Linked DNA regions of Danio rerio. The protein of the gene in region 2 interacts with the protein of the main gene of each other region in a pairwise test. Links are inferred from orthologs where the notes say so. Each region holds a gene or a part of one and is shown on either strand. Other genes may lie near its edges.

Region 1 (6,911 bases), on a different chromosome or scaffold from region 2:
TTTTCTGTTCTGAAATCAGCGAGCGAGGCCTCTCAGTAGCTTTATACTCATCTGCTCAATACTTTTCCCTGGTGTCATTTCATTTTACCACACACAGCTAAATTCCTGAACTAATCAGTTGTGTTTTCTTTGCATGTATGGATTACTTTAGTTGTTACCGACATCTGCTGACAATTTCAAGTCATCAGCACCTCTAGAAACATGTGAAGAGTGAAATGTTCTTCTACAATGAGCATTTCTCTCAGCCTCTTCTGTGTATGTTCAGTTATTTCACTTCTATGACAAAGAAGAGGTACTTTGGGGTGGAGCTACAAGTCTTTTAAGGCGGGACTTTCAATCCTTTGGGGCGGGGCTATCAGTCCTTTAAGGCGGGACTCTCAATCTTTTATGGTAGAGCAGAGCTATTAGTCCTTTAGGGTTATCAAATATTTAGGGCAGGGTTATCAGTCCTTTAGGGCGGGATTATCAGTCCTTTAGGGCGGGGCAATCAGTCCTTTAAGGCGGGACTATCAATCCTCTTGGCAGAGCTATCAGTCCTTTTGTGCGGGTATATCAATTCTTTAGGGCGGGGCTATCAGTCCTTTAGGGCGGGACCATCAAACCTTTATGGCAGAGCTATTAGTCCTTTAGGGCGGGGATATCAATTCTTTAGGGTGGGGCTATGAGTCTTTTAGCGAGAGACTGTCAGTCCTTTAGGGTGGAGCTATCAGTCCTCTAAGGTGGGACTATCAATCCTTTATGGCAGATCTATTAGTCCTTTTGGGCGGGGATATCAATTCTTTAGGGCGGGACTATCAGTCCTTTAGGGCGGGACTATCAATTCTTTATGGCAGATCTATTAGTCCTTTTGGGCGGGGATATCAATTCTTTAGGGTGGGGCTATCAGTCTTTTAGGGCGGGACTATCAGTCCTTTAGGGCGGGACTATGAATCCCTTATGGCAGATCTATTAGTCCTTTTGGGCGGAGATATCAAATCTTTGGGGTGGGGCAATCAGTCTTTTAGGGCGGGATTATCAGTCCTTTAGGGCGGGACTATAAATCCTTTATGGCAGATCTACTAGTCCCTTTGGGCGGGGATATCAATTCTTTAGGGTGGGGGTATCAGTCTTTTAGGGCGGGACTATCAGTCCTTTAGGGCGGGGCTATCAGTCCTTTAAGGCGGGAATATCAATACTTTAATGCATAGCTATTAGTCCTTTAGGGATTTCAATTCTTTATGGCAGGGCTATCAGTCCTTTAGGGCGTGGCTATCAGACTTTTGGGGTGGGGCTATCAGTTATTTAGGGCGGGGCTATCTGAACTTTAGGGCGGGGTTATCAGGGCATGTCTGCCCTGATTTTATCCATTCATCAATCTTCCTAGATTGTGTTTCACAACACCCGTCTTCCAATTATCCAGTATTTTTTAGTATTTTCTCATTTTAAGACTGTTTGAATCAGATGCACAATACGATAGTGGAAAAAGTCTTTCATTTCATGCCACAAATAACCAAACACAGACATGGGAGGCTGAGCAAAATGCTCATTTCAGCAGACAGTGTCTGATGGCATTGATGAACTCTTCGTATTTTAGTGAGAGAAATCCTGTCGTGTCAGCAATACTCATTTTACCCCCCATACACCATCAGTTTGTGCCTCAGGATGGTTTCCCCGGCGTGTGTCCCGGCGTCTGGTTCCAGCTCTGCAGTTTGCAGTAAACAGTGTTGGAGTTCTTGCAGCGGCAGCCGGGCCGCGTCAGCCGATCATGGCAGGAGTTGCAGGCTTTAACGCAGCCTTTCGCGGGCAGATAGCACAGCAGGCAGGGGAACAGCGTCGCCATCAGGCCCATGCACAGAAAGCGCGAGCAGCACTGCGGATGCGATAATGAACACGGCCTGTCAGCGCAGGCGTCTCCAACATCGTCATCGTCCTTGGAGCAATGATAAAAAATGCCCTTCACCAAACACATGCACGTGCCCTGCTCTATCACGTTCTCCGCCGAACACAAACACAATCCGTTGCATGCGAGCCGCGCCGGCAGCGCTCGCGGAGCCGTGCACTCGCTGCATTTACACTTCCCGCAGCTCTCGCAGATGTACAGATGCGCAGAGTCTCTGCTATCCGCATGCATCTGTTTCAGGGGAGCGTCCGGCGGCAGAAAGGGAGCGTTCAGAGATTTGGGCTGAGTCCGTACGCTGTTCCTGTGATGCTGTGGTGTTCTGGAGAGTAAACCCAGCTCGGATCCTGCACTGCTGCTGCTCTCGGAGCTCCCGGTGCTGGTGGATCTACTGAGACCCGGCGGACGCACTAATAACGAGGATTGTGGCTCGTAATTATTGTTGACGTTCACCAGGATCACTTCATGAGTCCTCTCATGTTTGTGTGCGTGACGCGGTGGCGGTGGTGGTCCCGGGGCCGGTCTCCGGGGGACTGCCGGGCCCTCAGTGTATTCGTTATTACTGCGAATGGCTTTGATCTGGTCCAGGGACAGGACGGCCCCGGGGTCCGCATGCCCACGCTGACCGCGGAGATCCATAAGACACGATCAGCAGCTCCAGACCACACAGCAATGCTCATCTGACAGCCTGAGAGACACGGAGAGAGAGAGAGATGAGGTTTTATAAGTGCTTTATTACAGTTATGTAGGGGTGTAGTGGATGATGGTTGATCCGTGATCTGTAGCGATCATAAACCAAAGTTTGGAACACACGTGCCCAATATAAGGATCGCAAAAAGATTCACATATATGAACACATTTAATCTGCTCTGTAAAATATGATGATGGCTGAAGAAGTTGTGGAGGCATCTAAAGCCTTTCCTAAGTTATCACCAGAGTTTTCCGGCAGTAGTTTATCCTGCATCAATGCATTCAGTGTAGAGCTGCACAACTCATCATCATTAGATCGGGATGTCAATTCCAACACCTATGCAACATAATTATAAAGGTGAAGATGATGATGATGATGTGCACATATTTATTAATCCTTCAAAGCGCTGCGTTCAGATCTGTGTTTAATCGTGGAGGTCTTTTGAGTGGAGTTAGAGTTACAATCCAATAACACAGGAGAACTGAGAGCCGTTCATAGTTCAGATATAAACACTGATGTTTACAGTAAATACATGTGAAATGACAGGTTCTAAGTTGTGTTTCTCGCAGTGCTGTTTTAGTAATAAATGGAAAGCAAGCTATTTGTCTCCTCCCTGTTTTGGCTGATCGGAAAACTGGTGCGATCCGAACCGTGAGATCTGTGATCTGTCACACCACTACAATTATACAATTATAAATCAATTAACAATGCAAAAAAACACATCTTATAGCAACATATATTTGAGAAAGAGGGATTTGAGGTTTTATAAGTACTTCATTACAATTACATGACTATACTCTGTAATGAATTGTTGCTGCTTTAATATTTTTACTTGAATTAAATGAACTTTTCCAGTCATCAATCCTGACATCAATCAAACTGAGTAAACATGCGGAGTTGAACTTAGTCGAACTTAAAACATGCAGATGAACCTGGAATAACTTATTAAAATAAGCTGAAGTAACAGAAAGACATTTGCTGCATGACTTATTCAGTGTGTCAATCAGCAATCTACATTAAACAACAATAGCTAAACATTAAATTAATCTCTACCACAGACAAAAGCACAACTTTACAGCACCATATGTTGGAGAGAGAGAGAAATAGAGAGAGAGTAATATTAGGACAAAAAAAATTTACTTTAAATTACTTTACATTTGTTTATTTATTCATTTATTTTTATTATTATAATTTATTATACTATTTATTGTGTGTGTGTGTGTGTGTTTGTGTATATATATATATATATATATATATATATATATATATATATATATATATACATTTGTAACATGTGTCATGCCAATAAACCAATTATTGAATTAAATTGAGAAAGACAATGCAATTTAATTGTTATGATGTTTAGTTTCTATTATTTTGATCTTTTTTCATAGTTATACTCTTCCACATATATCAAGCTTTGGCTATGTTGTCTTTTTACAGTCATGTCAATTATTAAAAGTAATCTGAGAGGGAGAGAGCGAGGTCTTTCACAGCCTGCAATTAATGCAACGGTGTTTGCAATGCCTATTCTCCACATTAATTACGTTTAAACATCTTTCTGTGATGACCTGATTAAGCTCTATTTCTACTGTTTTTTAATTAAATGCAGTTAACATTTGTAGTCAGTTTGACTGATGTCAGTGATATTTTCAGTGCACTTTTAAGTGGACTTTTTAAATTAATTCCCAGAGGAGCAGGTGATATGATTGATCGCGGCTGGCCTCTTATTGGTAATCAGCAATAATCCAATCAAATTGATCCAATCCTTCAATAAATAGACCTAATTCACACTACTGCCTTATCTTTGTTTTGGAAGAATCCCCCCTTCCACCTTATCTCCTCTTTTTTTACCAGGAAGAGCTCTCGAGAACTACCTGATCTTGGACCCCCTTACATGCTAAAAGACCAGGCGGGAGTTATCTCTGAGCTGGGGTTAGGGTTAATATATATATATATATATATATATATATATATATATATATATATATATATATATATATATATATATATATATATATATATATATATATATATAATTTAATTTTAAGGCATTGGTTATAACCATCACAATTGAATGGTCTTTTAAATAACTAAACATTGGTTTATCTATATATTCTTTATAACAGTATAAGTATAACAGAATAACAGAAGTATAAAGTCAAGAATAACACATTAAGATGTTGCACAGGTATATTTTGGGCAACAGCCAAATACACTCTATGAGTCATGAATATTTTGTTATATGCCAAAAAATCATTAGAATCTGACATAATCATGTTTCATGAAGACATTCAGTAAATTTCTTATGTTAAACATCTCAAAAATATATGTTGATGAGTAATATGCATCACTAAGAACTTCATTTAAGCAACTTTAATTGTGATTTTTCTCAATATTAAGATTATTTTTGCATGTTCAGATTCCAGATATTCAAACAGATTTTTACACCCAAATATTTTCCAATCCAAACAACAATAAAAACCTGTTTTTATTTAAATTTGACTCTTTTTTTTGTGCTCACATATTATAACTTTTTCTTAATAAACACTAATGCATGAACACCTTCACAATGCATTACACATATTTAACCACAAATACTTGTAGTATTATTCACTTAAAGCTTATTTTACTGGATGCATCTTTTTAGGACCCTTATTTTTAAGTGCACTTGGTCAAAGAAAAGCGTACCGGTAATCTAGCATTAGTGTTTACTGGAGCGTTGTAAAACTGTTGAAACACATGCACGCTCTCCGGGGCCCCACGCTTTTGTTTTTCACTTCCTTTGGGGGTTCAAGCCTTAATTAGAGGGTCAAACCCCCCGGACACACCATTCACACCCTGGTGTTCGGGATGCGCGTTCACAGCGGGTAATTCGCGCGCTCGCGGATCCGGACTGGACGTGTGCAGATGTACTTACAGAGACAGCGCTCTTAAATCAGTGTGTGTGTGTGCGTGAAGTGCGGGTCTCGAGCTCTGTTTCCTCTATTCACAGAGACATTTAACCCCCGACCAGAGACATCACACGCACACACACACAATCAAGCTGGAGGTTGTTAAATACACTGTAAAATCATCTGTTATCTGAACAATTTCCGATGGGGAGTTGCATTAAGGGATGTTGATCTCTGCTCTGTTCACTTTTGATGTTGAAAATTCACCTTTACAGTTTGACAAAGTGACTTTTATTGACATTTGTGTAGTTTGAATTAATATATTCTACAATAAAATAATATCTAGAGTAGAAATAATCTGTAAATGAACAGAACATGTGCTGACCAGGCTTTTATAGCGTTATATACAACACAGCACAGACAATATAGCCCTTTAAACCACTAAAAATGTTTATAAAAGTCACTTTTCTCGACCTTTCCAATGTTGAACGTAGCTGGAAGAAAGATTAAGGTCCCATAATGCAACTCAAAAGCAGAAATAAAAAGAAAAAACAATAATAAAATACGAAAAACTGCTAATTTACGGATATTTTCACAGTGTATGCTGTTTATTATTATTGTTTAATTCGAAAATGTTGGTTGTTCATTATTATTAATTGTTTTTCTCGCTACTATTATAATATGCCATATGTTCTGTATAATGTAAACATTACAGATGCTTTACCAATGCTATACATAACTTTTGCCATGTCAATAAAGCAAGTTTGAATTAAATTGCATTGAGAGAGAGAGAGAGAGAGAGAGAGAGAGAGAGAGAGAGAGAGAGAGAGAGAGAGAGAGAGAGAGAGAGAGTTGACTATTAACAAGACTTTGTACCGACCTCAATAAGCACACAAGTGAAGTAAAGTACAAATACTTCCCGTGCTGATTTGCATGTGTATGGCTGCTTAACATTAAAATGCAGAGCCACACCGAGCAGGAAGACTTCAAATCAAACACTGAGCTTCACACGCTTTATAATGCACGACCGGCCATCACAAGCAAAACACAACCAATACATGGAAATACCACACAATCAGCGTTTTACTTTAATAACAGATGCGCAATTAATATTAACAACGATCGAAAGTCCTATGCAAATGATTTCCCCTGTTAAAAACACTGTAAAATATCCGGTAATTAGCAGTTTTCGGTATTTTGCGCTTCATGTTTTTATTTTTGTTATTTTCATTGTTTATTTCTGCTTTTGACTTGCATTATCAGCTCTTAATGTTTCCTTTGACAACTTTTAGCCTTATTAAGAGAGTTTTCTGAACAATATTATTAGTTTAAAGTGAAATATCGTCTGGGTTGGTGTTGCACATTGCGCTATAATACATTGTAATACTACTAGTTGCCTATATTTTCTGTTGATTTACAGACTTATTTCTTCTCTAGATAATATTTCTCA
Region 2 (9,081 bases):
GAGACTGTGGGCAATGGCTCTGTTTTGGTGTGGAAGACATCTATGATACACAAATGTTATATTAAATATTACAACAGATCAACACGAACTCTAAAAGTGAGATTTGCCGCAAAAATCTCAACCTGTATAGGTATTGGCTGATGTGAAAGGGGAGGGGCGTTCTGATGGGAGGGGCCAAGAGGCAAGTGCGAGGGTGTGGAGTGGTGGGCGTGGCTGTGATGTGATTGGTCTTGGCTTTGATGCTGATGTGCGAGCCTTTGTGGTGATTGGCTGTGGCAGTGCTGCTGGTATGATGCGTGATGATGAGATGCAGATTGTAAATGCGACAATGGGTGAGGTTGTGATGGCATCATCTCCATCATGTGGCAAAGAGGATTCTGACTGCCGTTGGAAACTGCAGGTTGGCTGTGGGCTGGTATGACCTTTGACCGCTGAAGAGATGGGGAGAAATGGGTCAGAATGGCTCCTGAGGTTACTGTTAACATCACTGACATGCAACACTGCATGGATTATGCATGCTATTTAATAGGACAATTCCTCCAGCAAGATTTGTTTTACCAGCTATTGCAGGCAAGCTTGTGTTTTTAATTTCACAGGATTCTTGTGTGTGGTGATTGTTTGCAATGGTAAGATTACTTGGCACTAAGTATTTCAAAACACAGAATCTACAAAGACGCCTTTGAAAAGTCAGATGATAACCAGGTCAAGCCGAACCCTTTGAAATTCAATCTTCTCCACTTTCTGAAGAGAGTCAGCGCATGAATATATATGTGTGTGTGTGTGTGTGTGTGTGTGTGTGTGTGTGTGTGTGTGTACTCGTTTTGGTAGTTTACAAGGATAGTTTTTTGTTTATTGACATGAGTATGACCTAGCTGTACTATATTATGGTGGTTTATGAGGACATGCCTTGTGTCCTTGTAATTCTAAATGCTTATAAATGATATTTAAGTCTTTTGACATTCAAATTTTGCCTAAGGTTTCCTGTGAGGGCTAGGTTTATCTCTAGAGGTAAATTTTTATTCTATAAAATACATTAAGCCTGTAGAGAGTCCTCATAAACCACCAATACCAACAAAAGTGTGTGTTTGAATGAAGCTTTTTTTTTAACAAGCAGGACTAAAACATTGCATGTGTTTGAATTAGATAACTCAGTCAAGAAGTCTACATTAGTTACCAAGTACTGTGTCATTATAACCCATGTCTGGCTTGTTCTGTTTCTATAGAGACATCATAATCCTGTAACTATGGAGTCACATCATTAGATGGGACTGTACCTGAACGGAGGAGCATGAGCCAGAGTGGGCGGGTCCTGGTATGCCAATAATACTGGAGTTCATTGACATCTGTGACTCCATCTGTCGTTTAAATTATATTTTCAGTTATTGTGATGCATAATAAGGAACAGATGTATAATTTCAATAATTATTAGTCTTCACTTTATACTTACATTCATGTTTGATTTGACAGTGTTTGTCTGTCTGCTGTGTAGACAACTGGGTGCAGATCTGTAATGAGCCAAAAGGGCCTAGATGAGTAGTTAGCAAAATCTTAAAATGAATCTAAAAAAACAAATAATTTATTTACTTACTGGAAAGAAGTTTAGAATGTCAGAGACTTACAAATTATTGAATTTAATAGTAAAGGGCAAAATAGTGTAAAATATTTTAAGGGGAAACATTAATTTGCATTTTATAAACATTTTTACACCGAGATGTTAAGCTGGCAATTTTTTTTTAAATAAGCAATGCTGCTTTAACATCCTTTTCTTGACATGTTTTTAGGTGTGAGGACAGAACAACTTATCACTCACATGAGATCAACCAATCTGCTTGTTAAGCCTGATATTATATTTTCAGGTCCAAACGCCTAATCTCAGATGTTCTAAGACCTGAAAGCAGTATTCTATAACTTAAGAACCACTTTCTGTGAGGGTCCATATATTAAAATCCCTGGAATTTATTAATTTATTTATTATTTATTCATTGCCACAACAGTAACATAACTATTTCATGGCAAAATGGATATACATAAACATATTGCATGATAAAAACAAATACGTATAACAATAAAAAGTTATAAATATATAAAATATAAATAAAATAAAATTCACACAAAAATATATTCAAAGGTAAATAAAATTTTCAGTTAAATTTTTGATAAATTATTTAAGATTCTTACTGGTGGTTCCCTGGAATTTAAGACTATTAATTTATAATCACGTTTTTGAAATTAGGCTACCCCATATATTGAGGTCTCTCAAAGGAAATATATTATTGAGAAAGTGAAAGTAAGAAATATATATTTTTTTACATTTGCTTGTTTGATATTAGTTTAAGTTATCTGGGCCCCCTTTTTGAGAACCAATGATATAATAATATTCCTGGTACAGTATATTTTGGTGACACTCACTGCTTATTTGAACTGGAGTATGTGGCAGTGCATTGAGACTGACACTGTGAGCTGTGCGTCTGGAGCTGGTTCTGGTTCAGATGGGCCAGTGCACACGACTGCTGTTGCTGAGGCTGAAACTGCTGATGTTGACCTTGCTCAGGTTGTGTTTCGGTGTGAGGCTGCCTCTGAGCTGACGTCTGTGCAGAAAAGTTCTAAAAAGAGGAAAAGAGCACACTTAATTTTGAAGGTCTGTTTGTTGAATTTAAGTTACATTGCATCTACATGCCAACTAGTTCTCATTAGATAATAAGTTAGGTTGAGGTTAGGGTTAGTGTAAGTCAGTTCAATGATCAAGTTAAACTTATAGTCAGTTAAATGTCTGTTAAAGGAGCAGTTTCAACTTTTTTTGCCACTCTGCCCTTCTATAGAGATCTGTATATGAGAACTGTTTTAATACCTTTAATTCTTAGTACATTCCACATATTATGGACATACACACATATGCAAATATGGAATTAAATGTAAAACTTAACTAGCTTAAAGACTTCTATTTGTGGTAAAGACTGTTAAGCAAATTAATATATTATTCATTTGAACATGTGTGTAAGATTTGAAACATGAACTTCCTCTCACCGGTTTGGTCTGCTCTTCCGTCTGAGACTGGTTAAGCTCCAGGTCAGTAAAGAGGCCCACTTCCTCACAGTCCCGTAAGAAACGAGTTGGTGTTGGAGTCTGATCTATAGATGAACAAAGAGTACATATATGTCAAATCACAAATGCAAAGAGAATGCCACACATAAAAATGTCACTGGCAATAAATAAAGGAAGTCAATACGATAGGGATTTTTATTAATTAGAACAAGGTGAGTTCATTTATAAAGTACATTTATATCAGAAAAAAAATAATAATAAATTAAAAAAATATATAGAAAAATATCTATATTTTCAGGCAATAATTTTTTTCAATATATTCACAAATAAGAAACAAAGAATGCATAAATCTGATTATACCATCTCATACACAGTATACATGAATAAATATTGTATTATTATATTGTTTTATAGATAGGTGTATGCTACATACAATATTATAAATAATGCATTTTTATAACAGGGTTATCTATGTATCTCTAGAATTATTTTGAGGTGGTATGGTGTTTATAATATATATTGAATATTTAAATATGTCATACACTACATGTAAACATAGGAGGCATGTCATAGGGTCATAGAACAAAATAAAGTAGATCAATATCAAGTAACTTCCAGGCCTTCTAAACAAATGTAGAAAAGCTAGCCTTCTTCTCAATGTCATAAGCGAAACATGTCAGAAGTACTCTCGTGACATGCTGAAAAAATGGTAAAAATTAACCCTATGTCATAAACATGAGCCTGATTTTGCTCTCGCTGTTTTGGTAATTTAGAGGTAGTCTAAACCAAACGCTTTTTTCTAGACTACCATGAAAGAGGTCAGAAGGTAAAGCCCTTCTTTTGTTTTTTATGTAAATGTTTCTGCCGCTCCAGTGATGGCTCACAGACCCCAAAGGTTAAGGGTCAGGCTGATGTTTATATGTCAGACATTGAGTTTCCAGGGTAACAGACATTGTCTAAATCCTAAATTAAAGGAGATGGAGAACATGACCTATCATGACACTCAAACACATATTCTCTTTTCCCAGGCTCTTATATTTCTGACCCACAGAATTTAGATTGACACTGTCGTTGTTCTGACAATCCTAATATAACATTGATTATAAAATACCCTTTCAGTGTGTAATTATGTGTGTGTGTGTGTGTGTGTGTGTGTGTGTGTGTGTGTGTGTGTGTGTGTGTGTGTGTGTGTGTGTGTGTTTACCTGAAAGCATACTGTCACACTTAATAGAAGGGAATTTAAGCGTCATCTCATGTTTGTGTCTGTGGATGATTAGGTGGTCTTCTCTTTGGAAGCTCTATAAGAATCAGAAACAAAATTGATGTAGAAATAAATGTTAAAAAATTATTTAGAAGTATTAAACTATGAATCAATTATAGCTTGCAAAAATGACAATCCGCAGCAAAACAGGACATCTGTCACTCACCTGCGAGCATCCAGGAGCAATGCACACAAATGGCCTGTCCTGATCAACATTCATCATCTGAGATGTAAAAGACCTAATAAAAATACACATACAAACACATGCGCAGTGGAGATGACATTATGAAGTGCTCATGACAAGCAGCCAGATATAAATGACACCTACATATATTGTCTGTCTGTCTGCCTGTCTAAATAGATAAATAGACAGAGACTTTATGAACCCTTTTTAATGCCAGACTGACAGACAGACAGACAGACAGATAGATAGATAGATAGATAGATAGATAGATAGATAGATAGATAGATAGATAGATAGATAGATAGATAGAATCTAATTACTGAAACTATTTGTATTGCTTTCAGTTCTCCATATTTTGTTCACATTTCCCTATAAATGAATTGTCTTCTGTGTACAGTGCGTGCTCTCTGTATATGATAAGTACCTTATAAAACGCATGCTTCTAGCCCGGTTACTCATAAAATGATCATTCCTCTAGTTATGACATCATCGTTTAGTTGAGCCGGGCAAGAGTTTGAATTGGCAAGACGGGTCTACGGTGCTAATGCCAAGCGTCTAACTGGCCTGCAGAATGACGTAATGGCGAAACCAGAGGATTCACGCGGTGTCACGAATATTACAAACCCAAACAACCAAGAGCAGACATCTCACCAGCGGCAGATATGTTAATTTAGCAGAAAAAAACACAGTAAAGTTGGCTGATTCACCCTGAAGTATATCTGTCGGCAGGTGTCATCCACGGTTTGATTAAACACAAAGCGAATGCAAATACTTTCTTCCTCTAAACATGCACATGTGTTTGATTATAACCGTTAAATCGTGTTCGATTTAACGTAAAATTCGAATAGGCTTCGAACCGCTAACTGTCCAACATTCGCTCCGGTTGCTGACAAGTTTGTTTACACTCTTTACTAAAGATTTGCAAAGACGACAGTTTTCAGTCAGAACCTTTTTTATATGAATATTGTTATCGCCTGTTTATTCGGCGGTGTCACACCCCCTCAAACAAACATTCTAACAGTTTGCGCCCATCTCAGTGGAAACCGGCACTTTGACATAACTTGACAGTAAAACAACAACAACCGCATCAAAAACCCACAAAACACTGTACAAAACAAGTAAACTGTTTGCGCTGTAAATCAGGTGTTTAATTATATTCAAAAGACTGACTGTAAAACAGTAACACTAACTTACCTAAACGCACGCAGACTGAGACAAGCAACGCTCCTCGCGCTGGGACGAAGCACGCTGAAGTGAAACGCGATTACAATATGATCTATTTACAGAAGCATTACATCACCTTGTGGTGACGTCACGTGGGATTCCTGAACTTCTAAATCATTGCGGTCCGCTTTTTAAAAAGAGGAGGTGCTTTCAGACTCCGCGCACCCGCCCACCGGAGGATGTAGCGGGCGTCCGATGCGGACATTGGAGCGTTGAGGGAGAAAAAAGGAAGGGGAGGCGCTTTACTGCGTGCGTGCTGCGCCAACAGCTGTCTGGAGCTGTGCGCGGGACGGTCCCGATTAACGTATGGTGTGTGTGTGTGTGTGTGTGTGTGTGTGTGTGTGTGTGTGTGTGTGTGTGTGTGTGTGTGTGTGTGTGTGTGTGTGTGTGTGTGTGTGTGTGTGTGTGTGTGTGTGTGTGTGTGTGATAAAGAGAAGAGAGCGGGCATGTATGAGCGCGTTAACTGCTGGCTTAACCCGTATATCCAAATGATTACCAGACGTTTGTTTTTTCCGACGGCCAACCAAATAAAACACGTATTTCTTTCCTTTTGTGGTTACAGTACCAGTGGAAAACAGTAAGATACAACTGGTCAGTTACTCAGTATGAGAAGAAAACTGCAAACCTTCAAGTAGCCTAAACTTATAATATTTATTTATTTATTTTTTATTATTTCACTTTCAATTGATTTTATTGCCACTTTATTGAAGATTTGGACTTTTAATATGATTTAAATTTTTTTTTTTTGAGAGTAAGTTAAGTTTTAATATTTATTTTTTTAAATAATAGCTTATATATTTTAAATATTTACAGAGGCCTAATATTGTAAACACACTTGGTAATGTTGGTAAGTGTTGATAATTAACTTTTAATCAAATGCATCTACTATACCGCTGTACTTTAAACACTTTAGACTCTTTTTAGAAACCTAAATGGAATACATTTTGTTTGGAGTGACTAAATATTTATGCTTTGTTACTTGTTTCAAGAATGTTTTGTTTAATCATCGTGTTAAACCACTGATGTCATGATTTGAAATGTATGACAGAATGTGGATACTTTCAGATTGTGTTAAAACTAAGGGGTGTGTCTGATGTTTCAGAACAACGTGGTCCTTTTGTGGTCATCGCAAGGGAAAGAGTGCAAGAAAACACACAAGTGGGAGGGAGGAAAATACAGTGTGAATCATTAGCCTGCTCTAACTCAGAATGCTAGTAGCTGTTTCCCCAGCAACACCACAAAACAGGAAGTGGTAATGATGTCACATCAAGCCCCAGCCTTAGCTGACTCCTACATCTTTGAGTATGAATCATTCACACACAGAGACAATGCAGCAGAGGGCATGCATCCACAGGCCTCATGACATCATCCATGTTTCTCCAATGATATAATTCAACTTAAAAAGGAACTGTCAGGTTCACCTTTTGTTTCACCATTCTATTATAATCTATAAAATTATAAATTCATGTTTTATTCAAAGTGACTTACAAAAGAGAAACTTAAAGCATTTTGTTACAGATAACAGTAATTAAACAAAATGTAAGGTGGTGCAGTGGTTAGCACTGTCGCCTCACAGCAAGAAGTTAGCTGGTTCAAGCCCCAGCTGGGCCAGTTGCCATTTCTGTGTGGAGTTTGCATGTTCTCCCCATGTTGCGTTGGTTTCCTCCGGGCGCTCCAGTTTCTCCCACAGTCCAAAGACATGCAGTACAGGTGAATTGAAAAAACTAAATTGGCTGTAGTGTATGTGTGTAAATGTGCAACTGTATAGGTGTTTCCCAGAACTGGCTAGCAGCTGGAAGGGCATCCGCTATGTAAAACATATGCTGGATAAGTTGGCGATTCATTCTGCTTTGGCCACCCCTGCTGAATAAAGGGACTAAGCCGAAGCAAAATTAATGATTGAAAACATAATGCATTTTGACTGATTTCACAAGGACATTGTTCTCTTTTGGATGAGAATATGGAATTTGTACACACAGAAATCCATAGACCTTTTCAAATAAATTGTTATCATTAAGTCTATATATTTACTTATGTAAATGTGTGTAAATGCATACATATTCAGTTTTTTTAATAATCGTTTTTAGGGGTTTTCATCTTTATTTTGATAGGACAGTGGAGAGTTATAGAGAGGAAAGTATGGAGAGGAGAGATAGGGGAAGGATCGGCATAGGACCTCAAGCCGGTAAACGAACTTGGGTCACCGTGAGCACCTCAGTGCAATGAGTCGACTCACTAAAATAATAAATTGGACAGGCCTGCAAAGATTGACAACTGTTTTATAAAATAGATATTAAAAACAAACAATAATAGTACTGGATTACTTTACAGTTCAGTTGCACAAGCACATACACTGCATTTTCAGTGTCTCACACTATAGTATTTGTTGCCTCAACTCAAAAACATAGGTAGAACCAGCGTCTTTTAAGTTGCGCCCCATACTTCCAATTCTGCAGGTGGTGGAAAATGCACCATTAAGTTAGTTTGCCAACTTCCAGTTAAACACCAGAAGACAGACACATAGGATATTTATCACCAGATTTTTTTTTAATTGTTCAATCATTACATTTGGTAAGTAATACTCCTTCGAATTGTGTTAACTGATATATATGAACTTATTATGTATTGTTGTTCATTCATTAATTTTCTTTTTGGCTTTCCTTCCTTTTGGCAGATTAAACCTTTTATTTGGACACATTTTTAAAGCTTAGTAAAGTTCTCAAGTTGTGAGAAAAACTACAGTAAAATCTTTCCCAGTGATTATTTGATGTATTTTTTTGTGGAGTTAATGAGTTAAGGAGAATGATGAGACACACACAACGTCATTACAAAGTTGACAGACAGATACACACACAATGCTCGCATTTAATTTTTCACTGTTGTTGCATGCAAATGTGACAGGATACAGGTTAATATCCACTGCTGTATGGAAATCCGTTATGTTGATGTACAAAGTAAACCTGATTTAATGTCCTCAAACCAGGATTGAAACATCTTGTTATTTTTGTACTGATACGTGGCTGCGGTGATAAGTACAGCTGAAGTTAATTGGTGTAATACATTACAAACATGAACTGTTTAAAACTTGTAAAACATATTCTTGATCAGATTTGATAATAATTGATCATCACAGCGAGCTGAACAGATTTTTAAAATCCAGTTGCTTTGTGCTCGTGTTGTGGCTGTCAATCAATTCGTTGGGTGAGTAAACCACACCCTTACATCAAGTTGCGATGGGCCTCAAAACGGGAGGGATTTGGATCCTATTGTCTTTATATCATCCCAATTAGACTGTAGACACACTATACCTACACACAGTTCTGTCCAAACAGCTTCCAAAAGATAATTTTCATCATAGGTTTTTCAATAA

What was found.
Region 1: the proteins of creb5a (region 2) and spry1 interact in binary tests that used the Homo sapiens proteins (3 or more experiments, as listed by UniProt). The two-hybrid records come from large-scale screens. The link is inferred for Danio rerio from reciprocal best matches to the Homo sapiens genes CREB5 and SPRY1.

Annotation. Positions count from the first base shown.
Region 1 is NC_133189.1:683,347-690,257, forward strand, and holds spry1 (protein sprouty homolog 1), read right to left. Parts: upstream 2,910-6,911; 5' UTR 2,516-2,909; coding exon 1,637-2,515; 3' UTR 1,625-1,636; downstream 1-1,624. UniProt on the Homo sapiens protein: Inhibits fibroblast growth factor (FGF)-induced retinal lens fiber differentiation, probably by inhibiting FGF-mediated phosphorylation of ERK1/2. Inhibits TGFB-induced epithelial-to-mesenchymal transition in lens epithelial cells.
Region 2 is NC_133194.1:21,757,802-21,766,882, forward strand, and holds the start of creb5a (cyclic AMP-responsive element-binding protein 5), read right to left. Parts: upstream 5,743-9,081; 5' UTR 5,682-5,742; intron 4,543-5,681; 5' UTR 4,527-4,542; coding exon 4,470-4,526; intron 4,341-4,469; coding exon 4,247-4,340; intron 3,129-4,246; coding exon 3,025-3,128; intron 2,604-3,024; coding exon 2,410-2,603; intron 1,506-2,409; coding exon 1,448-1,505; intron 1,356-1,447; coding exon 1,275-1,355; intron 432-1,274; coding exon 123-431; intron 41-122; coding exon 1-40. UniProt on the Homo sapiens protein: Binds to the cAMP response element and activates transcription.